Caenorhabditis elegans: one gene and its partner. The protein of the gene in region 2 purifies or fractionates together with the protein of the main gene of each other region. This does not show direct contact. Each region holds a gene or a part of one and is shown on either strand. Other genes may lie near its edges.

Region 1 (3,933 bases), on a different chromosome or scaffold from region 2:
TCAACAACAGAGCAGATTTCACAGTGATCTTCTGAATATTCTTTCGAAATCTTTGAAAGAGTTGCTAAAAAAAATTCGTGAATGCACGAACAAAGAAACATTGAAAACACTATTAAATAAACTAGAAAAGTGGTTACTATCGGACAGTTTTTATTTAGGTAGACCTGCATAAATAAATCAAACAAATGATTCATATATTTTCAGGTGTTCTCAAGCTACTCAAAGAGTTTCAGAAATTCATCCAGAAAATCTGCAAAGAAGGGAAGTATCTTGGCGAACGTATTAACAATAACGGACAAATACAGGTATTTTATAGAATTAATGATACCAAAGTTCTTGTCATTTGTCTATCCGAACTACTCTACGCACCAAGAGACGGCTATGATTTGCATTCACCGTGCAGGCCAATCAGAAAAATAATCACAATGTTTGTAACAAGTATGGAAAAGGTGAAATACTGGAAAGAATCGCGGTGGCCAATAACAAAAAACCATGGCTGTTTTAAGCCATTCTAAATTTAATTTTTCACGTTTTTTTCCAAATTGTAATTTCAATAAATGTATATGTATTTGAACATTGAAAGAAAACAACTTAAAAAAAAAGCAAAAAAGGCAACCGGTGCGAGTCTGAAAATTTGTGTGAAAAATACTTTCGTCTACACTTTAATTTTTCGCAGGTTTAAACTTTTCTTACTGACAAGAACGTCAATATATTAAGGCTTAGCAATACTTTCCAACGCTTCCTCATTCATGGCACTGATAACGTTTTTATACGACAGGGCTACTTCACTATTTTCTTCATTTTTCACATTTCTTCCTAATTCACATTTCTCCAAGCAGAAAATTAATGTTTTCTGCAACTCTGTCAAAAAGAGCACCGATCGGTGGATCTGGTCCACACCGTCTGATAGAAGATAGGAAGGAGTACTGGTATGATCCTCGTGTTGACCGAATTGTGGTCGCTGCTGATCCACCGTGTAGCGATGCGCTGGAAATGATTGCAAATTTCAATCCTGATGCTCCGGCACTGGATTTGAACGACCTTCTTCGGATATTCAAAGCGTAAGTACCCAAGACCTCAATTTTTCTAATAAGTACCTTTTCCAGTCAGCAAAGCAACGCGTTCAACCCAAAATCCCGCACCGACGGGGGCAGCTATAACACCAACGACAAACGTGTCAGTAGAGCTTCCTCTTATTCATCACAACTACCAAAAGGAACTCTGCAAGAGCAACATCCAAACGTGTACCTGAAAGACGAGCGGAATCCAAACGGTCGGGGAGGTGTCCACAAGGCGTATTCATCTAGAGATCTGTTTTTTGAACTGGTGGTGATGCCTGATAGCTTTAAATTTACTGTAAGTTGGAGCTAAAGGTAGGATGTACCTGAACGTTTATAGACCGCTGTGGTAGCAAACTGCGCAAAGGAAGGTCTTCTCCATTCCCTGATCAGACATGGAAATCAGTTCTGCAACCTCCCGAACAACGATCTTGTCCTGAAAGACATTCTAGACGTGATCCCAAGTCACTTGAGGTGAAGGCTCTTCGAGAAGTGAATGATAAATTGGGGAACAAGAAGTTGAACAAGAACCTACGAATGAAGGAGGTCACGGATGACGATTATGAAGGTGAGAGTAACTGATAAAACGTAGATCATACTATTCAATTTTCACAGATCTATTGAAACTATTGGGAGAATTTCACGTCTTCATACAACGAATTGTCCAGTCGAAGAACTACCGCGGGGAGCGTGTGAACACCAACGGGCAGGTGCAAATCTTTTGGGACATAAATGGATCTGACTACCTAGTCCTCGCTGTTTCCGAACAATTGTGGAATGGAAAACTCGAGTACGACACTACAAGACCGCCACGACCTATTAAGACAATTATTACTATTTTTGTTACATCTGCACAAAATGTAAAGAAAATTAGAGAAAGTTGGCCAGTGACAATGCAATATAAATAAGTGTGATGTGATTTTTATTATATAATATATATAAATGAAAATATAGAATATATCATTCTTTGCATCATTTTTTATATTATCATTTGCCGGAACTAAATTTCAAATTGGCGTCGACAAGTGAGAGACGCAGGCATACCGCGTGTTTTGTTTTTTACGTCTGCGTCTCCACCCTCACTATGGACAACAACAATATCATTGCTCAGCCTTAAAAGTTTACATGTAAACACCGCATTCCGTTTTCAATATTCATTCTTTCCGTCTTCTGCGAACGCCTCAAAACAATGGAGGCACATATTGCTGCTAAAATGGCCGTAGGTTCAGGCGGCCTACTTTCCACCATGCTTACCAGACTTCTCGGTCCGAAACTCGGAGCTTATGTTTCTACAAGGCTCGGAACAGTCCTCGGCACCAGGCTCAGTGCCCTACTCGCCACAAAGCTTGGTGCAATCATTGGCACAAGTACTGCAACGTTGGTTGTTGGTATGCTTTCATGGGCGGTTTACCTTGGAAGCATCGGATATTGTGCTTACGCGCTGATCAAATTATTTTCTTTACACAGAGGGATCGCTTACTCGTCAGATGAGAGAAAAACTTCCTCGAGTCGTGCAAATTACCAAAGTACTCCTGAGAGCACGAATTCTTTGAATCGTACATCAGAATATTGGTATGATCCCACTTTCGATCAAGTCGTCAAGTCTAGAAATCCTCCGAGTCAAGAAGCGATTCGTGTGATCGGCAATTTCCAAGAAGATGGATCGACTACGGAGGAGATCTTTGAGCTGTTCAAAGCGTGAGTTTCTGCCCGGTACTTGAAGGTCTGACCTCTAACATCTTCCAGACAGCAACGCGATGCCTTCAACCCGAAGTTCCGCTCCGATGCGGGCAGCTACAACACGAGCGATAAGCGCTCCAGTAGAGGTGGTTTCTACTCATCCCAGGAGCCCAAAGACACATTACAAGATCGTCATCCGAATGTGTTCCTTCAAAATGAGCAGAATCCCAACAACAACAACGGGAAGGTTGAGAATCTCTATGCTTCAAGGAATCAGTTCTGGATGAGCATCGTGGCTCCGGAGAATTTCTCGTATACGGTAAGGAGTAATGCTATTAAAAGAAAATTTTTCAGCATTTTTCAGATGGTTGCCCTGGCGAACAATACACGTGAAGGACTTCTCCATTCATTGATTAGACATGGTCATGAGTTCAAATTTGGTGAAGATCTTCTGGATGCGCTTCCGGGAAATCTGAAACAACTGGTGCAACAGCTCAGAAAGGAGAACAACCGCGATCTGAATATTGTGCTAGAGAAGGAGATTCAGAAATTGTCCGAATCGGAGTATCGAGGTAAATATTAAGAAATGTATTTGGATTTTGGTAAAAATGCTCTTACTGTAGGGTGGGGGTTGCAGAAAGGGTGATGTAGGATTTCTGTAGTATTACTGTAGGAGTCTTGTTGGATTACTGTAGCAGCACTGTAATGGCGCTGTAGTTGTACTTTTGGGGGTGCTGTAGCATTACTGCTAAGGTACTATTAGAATACTGTAGGTTTGCTGTCGTTTCTGTGAGGCCACTACATGTGTTACTGAAAGGTTACTGTAGGATTACTGTAGTGGTACTGTAGGAATACTGCTAGGGCACTATATAAATATTGTTGTACATATTGTTACTGCTGTTCAAAACGCTAGGCAAAAGTATGAAGGTACTGTAATGGTACTGTAGGATTACTGTAAGCAAACATTTTCTGTTTTCAGATCTGCTCAAGCTCTTGGAAAAGTTCCAAACCTATATCCAGCAAATCGTTCAACGCGGAAATTACATTGGTGAACGTGTGAACATCAACGGCCAGATGCAGGTTTACTGGAAAATCAACGATAAGGAAGTCCTGGTGACGGCTCTTTCTGAGCAGTTGTACTGTGGAAATGTGCAGTATGACGCTGGAGGAAGGGCTCGACCAATTCGGAAAATTA
Region 2 (3,339 bases):
TTCTCGGGAATTTGGATAGTCAGGGAAGTACCATTGAAATGGACTACTAATCTCATCGTTGACGTTGACAAAAACATATTAATATAAGAAACGTTAATGTTCAACTCCTCAACATGACGTTTTGCAGCTTTTGAGGTAAAAGAGATGCTCACTCTGAAAATAAATAGCTATACTTTGAAAAACTGAAGAAATTAACTTACACATCTACTAATTTCATTGTTTGAAGTAGAAAACGTAGAGGTTTTGAAGGTAATCGAAGAAGTGGGAAACCACTCGTCATGGTTGTAAAGGGAATGAATGACTGGAATGGGAGGTTTGGTGGCCCAGCAGACGCTTGGTAATCGATCGAGTAGACACCGCATTCCAGCTGCGCAATGAATGAACACTCCACTAGATAAAGAGCAAACCAGTCTCACTTGAAACATGGTACATTGATCAATAAATCGTAGTGTCTACTTGGTTCTAACCAATTTCCAATATTGAGCTCATCCGCGCAACTTTCATTTGTTTTTCCTGTTTGCTATGCACATTAAAAAAAAATCATTTACTATATATAAAGCGCTTATTGTGTCCATAGTTTGTAGTCTATGTAGTCTTTGTAGTCTGTGAAGTTTTGGCTTCTGTGGGGATAGTGAGTTGGGGTTAGTGTAGGGATATAGTCGGGGTACTGTAGTGGTACAATAGTGGTACGGTAGAAATACTGTAGGGTTACGGTAGTTTCAGAAAAATTAGTTTTCAGCCCCAGAAGTCTGGGGCCGCGTCGGAGGTGCGGTCCACGGCTGGTATATTATATAACAATTTATTTTGAACAGTGTTCAGAAACAAAACTGGGTGAACTCATATACATATATTTAGGTAGTTCGGTATCACTAGAGAGAATCCTAAGCATTGCATGATTTGCGTGCAAGTTTTTTGCCTCACACTGCCTACAAAGGTCATAATCGGCGCATATTGTGCATTTGTATCGATTATTCCAGTTGCATTCTGCCTTGCACTCGTCACAGTCGAATGGATGATAAGTCGGTAAGAGAGTGATGACAAGATAGAGAAAGTTGTAGAAACGGGATTGCTTGATACTACCAAAAACTCGGCGTTTGTTTGACAAGCCTTCAATGAGATTGGTTGGCTCATCTGAAAAAGGATGATATCATGCAAGATTCCTGTTATTATCACTCACCAAGACAAAACCGCCATGAGAAGTAAGGAAAAATTTCCTGGGCTGTTTTGTACAACTGGCTCAGCGGGTCCTCTTCATCTAAGGTAATTTCAACCACTTTTTTGTCGAATTTTGTGGCGAATGTCACAAAAACTATCCGCCCTTTCTTTTCTTTAGTTTCACAAATTGTTTTCTGGGCGTTAACCAGAACATCGAGACGTCGCTCTTGTGGAATAAACTCCAGCTCTTCTTCTTTTGTTAAAGTCATGCTGAACAATTTTCTAAATAAGATGAAAAATCAACTTCAAAACCAAAGAACGCTTATGTTATCAGTAAGAATACATATAAACTGCAATACTATTAGAGTTGGTGGCAAAAAATATATTGAAGCTTCATAAAAAATATTGAAGCTTCATTTATAAGCATAAAAAAGGAAGTGACAGCTAACAACCAGGACTGGTTACAGAAAAAACACCACAAAAAAAAATTTAACAAAAAAGCTCAAATCAATAGAGCCACACGTACATTTTCACCGATAAGAGTTTTTGTCGGGCGAATTGATAATAAAACTAAAACATACGGCCTGGAAGTGAAAGTTGAGTTTGTGAAACGTTTTGTGGCAGATCATGTATACCAAAAATCAGAAAATGTAGAGACAAATACGAATTGAATTAACAGTAAATGTTTAGTATAATATACTTTTTTATACATACAAACGTATGTATGTGTACTATTTATTGCAATCAATTACAGTTTATCCAACACTTCAGTTTCTTTATCCTCTACTCCTTCTGCTCTGAGAGATTTTCCAGTCCAAGAATCCAATTCCTGTTGCTCTTCCCTTTCAAATTGCAGTTTTCTTTCAATGTTTTGTACAACCTGAAATATAATACATCTAATTTGCTAAAAGTTAGTTAGTCAATAAATTCTATAGCTCCAACTAGAGAAAGCAAGGACCCCTGCGTCAGGCGTAAAAACTACCCCTGCCTCCCATGAAAATTCTAGTTTCAATCGAACCTCCTCTTGCATGTAATTTTTGAAAAACTTGACGCATTCCTTAAAAGTGGGACGTTTTTTTGGAGATGTTTTCCAACACATTTTCATCAACTTATAGCTAAAATTTTAGAGATTTTTTTCAGAATATATGAACATATTTACATTTCATCCGGACAGTATTTGGGTTGTGCATTTCGATTCCCATTTTCAATAAACTCAATGACTTCTTGAATCGAGCCACAATTGGGATAAGGAGTTCCACCCAAAGTGAAAATTTCGTAGAGACATAGACCGAATGACCAAACGTCAGACTTCTCAGTAAATTTCAAGTCATCGATTGCTTCTGAGGACATTGTTGGTACTGGAAGGACTGTGTCGGTTTTCAATCTAAAGTTTTAAATTTGAACAAGATTTGTTTTGGAGACTGGAGACCTGTAGTATGATTTGCTAGCAAACTTTTTGTGAGCCCAAAATCAGCAATTCTAATAATTTTGGTTTTGGTTATTAGTACATTCCTGCATGCCAAATCACGATGTACACACTGAAATTAAAGATTTATTGCAATTAATCAACTGGCTGTGCTCACCGGAACACTGGCAAGCCATTCCATTCCAGTTGCAATTTGTAGTCCAATGGATAACAAATCAGAAGTTGACAGCGAATCAAACGCATCGACAAGAAGTTCCTCTTTTTCACATGATTCTTTTTCAGACACATGTAAAACTATATCGTTATTACAAAGTTCGTTTTTAAAATGGCTTCTAAGCTTTCTCAGGTACTTAAGCAGATCACCACCATTAATGTACTCGGTAATAACGTAAAGGAAACCACTGAAATTTGATTAATCCATTATGCTAAATCTGGATTATTTGTCACTCTTTCACTCTTTGATTTGTCTTTCACTCTTTGATTTACTCACTCTTTGATTTGTTTAGTGACAGCTCCTACAAGAGCAATTACATTTGGATGTTTTGGAATAGCACACATCACTTTCAGTTCGTCTACCATCATTTTTTGCTGTTCCAAGTTATTCATTGTTTTTGCACCTATGAGATCAAAATTCATCACAAATTCAACAGTATTTAACTAACGTTTAACCGCTACTTGCAATCGAATCTTGTATTCGATCAAGCTGTGGGGATCAACTTTCTGCAGCAATCCTCTGTTAACAAGTCCAAACTGACCGT

The links.
Region 1: the proteins of sqst-5 (region 2) and Y47G7B.2 fractionate together in Caenorhabditis elegans (co-fractionation; one large-scale study listed by BioGRID). This does not show direct contact.

What each region holds. Positions count from the first base shown.
Region 1 is NC_003280.10:2,706,253-2,710,185, reverse strand, and holds the start of Y47G7B.2 (DUF4781 domain-containing protein), read left to right. Parts: upstream 1-2,171; 5' UTR 2,172-2,247; coding exon 2,248-2,756; intron 2,757-2,804; coding exon 2,805-3,057; intron 3,058-3,102; coding exon 3,103-3,310; intron 3,311-3,717; coding exon 3,718-3,933. Other genes in the region: T05A8.1 (SH2 domain-containing protein), read left to right, coding at 847-1,061, 1,107-1,356, 1,399-1,536.
Region 2 is NC_003281.10:146,184-149,522, forward strand, and holds sqst-5 (ZZ-type domain-containing protein), read right to left. Parts: upstream 1,438-3,339; 5' UTR 1,425-1,437; coding exon 1,178-1,424; intron 1,132-1,177; coding exon 800-1,131; 3' UTR 786-799; downstream 1-785. Other genes in the region: fbxb-84 (F-box domain-containing protein), read right to left, coding at 1-153, 201-280.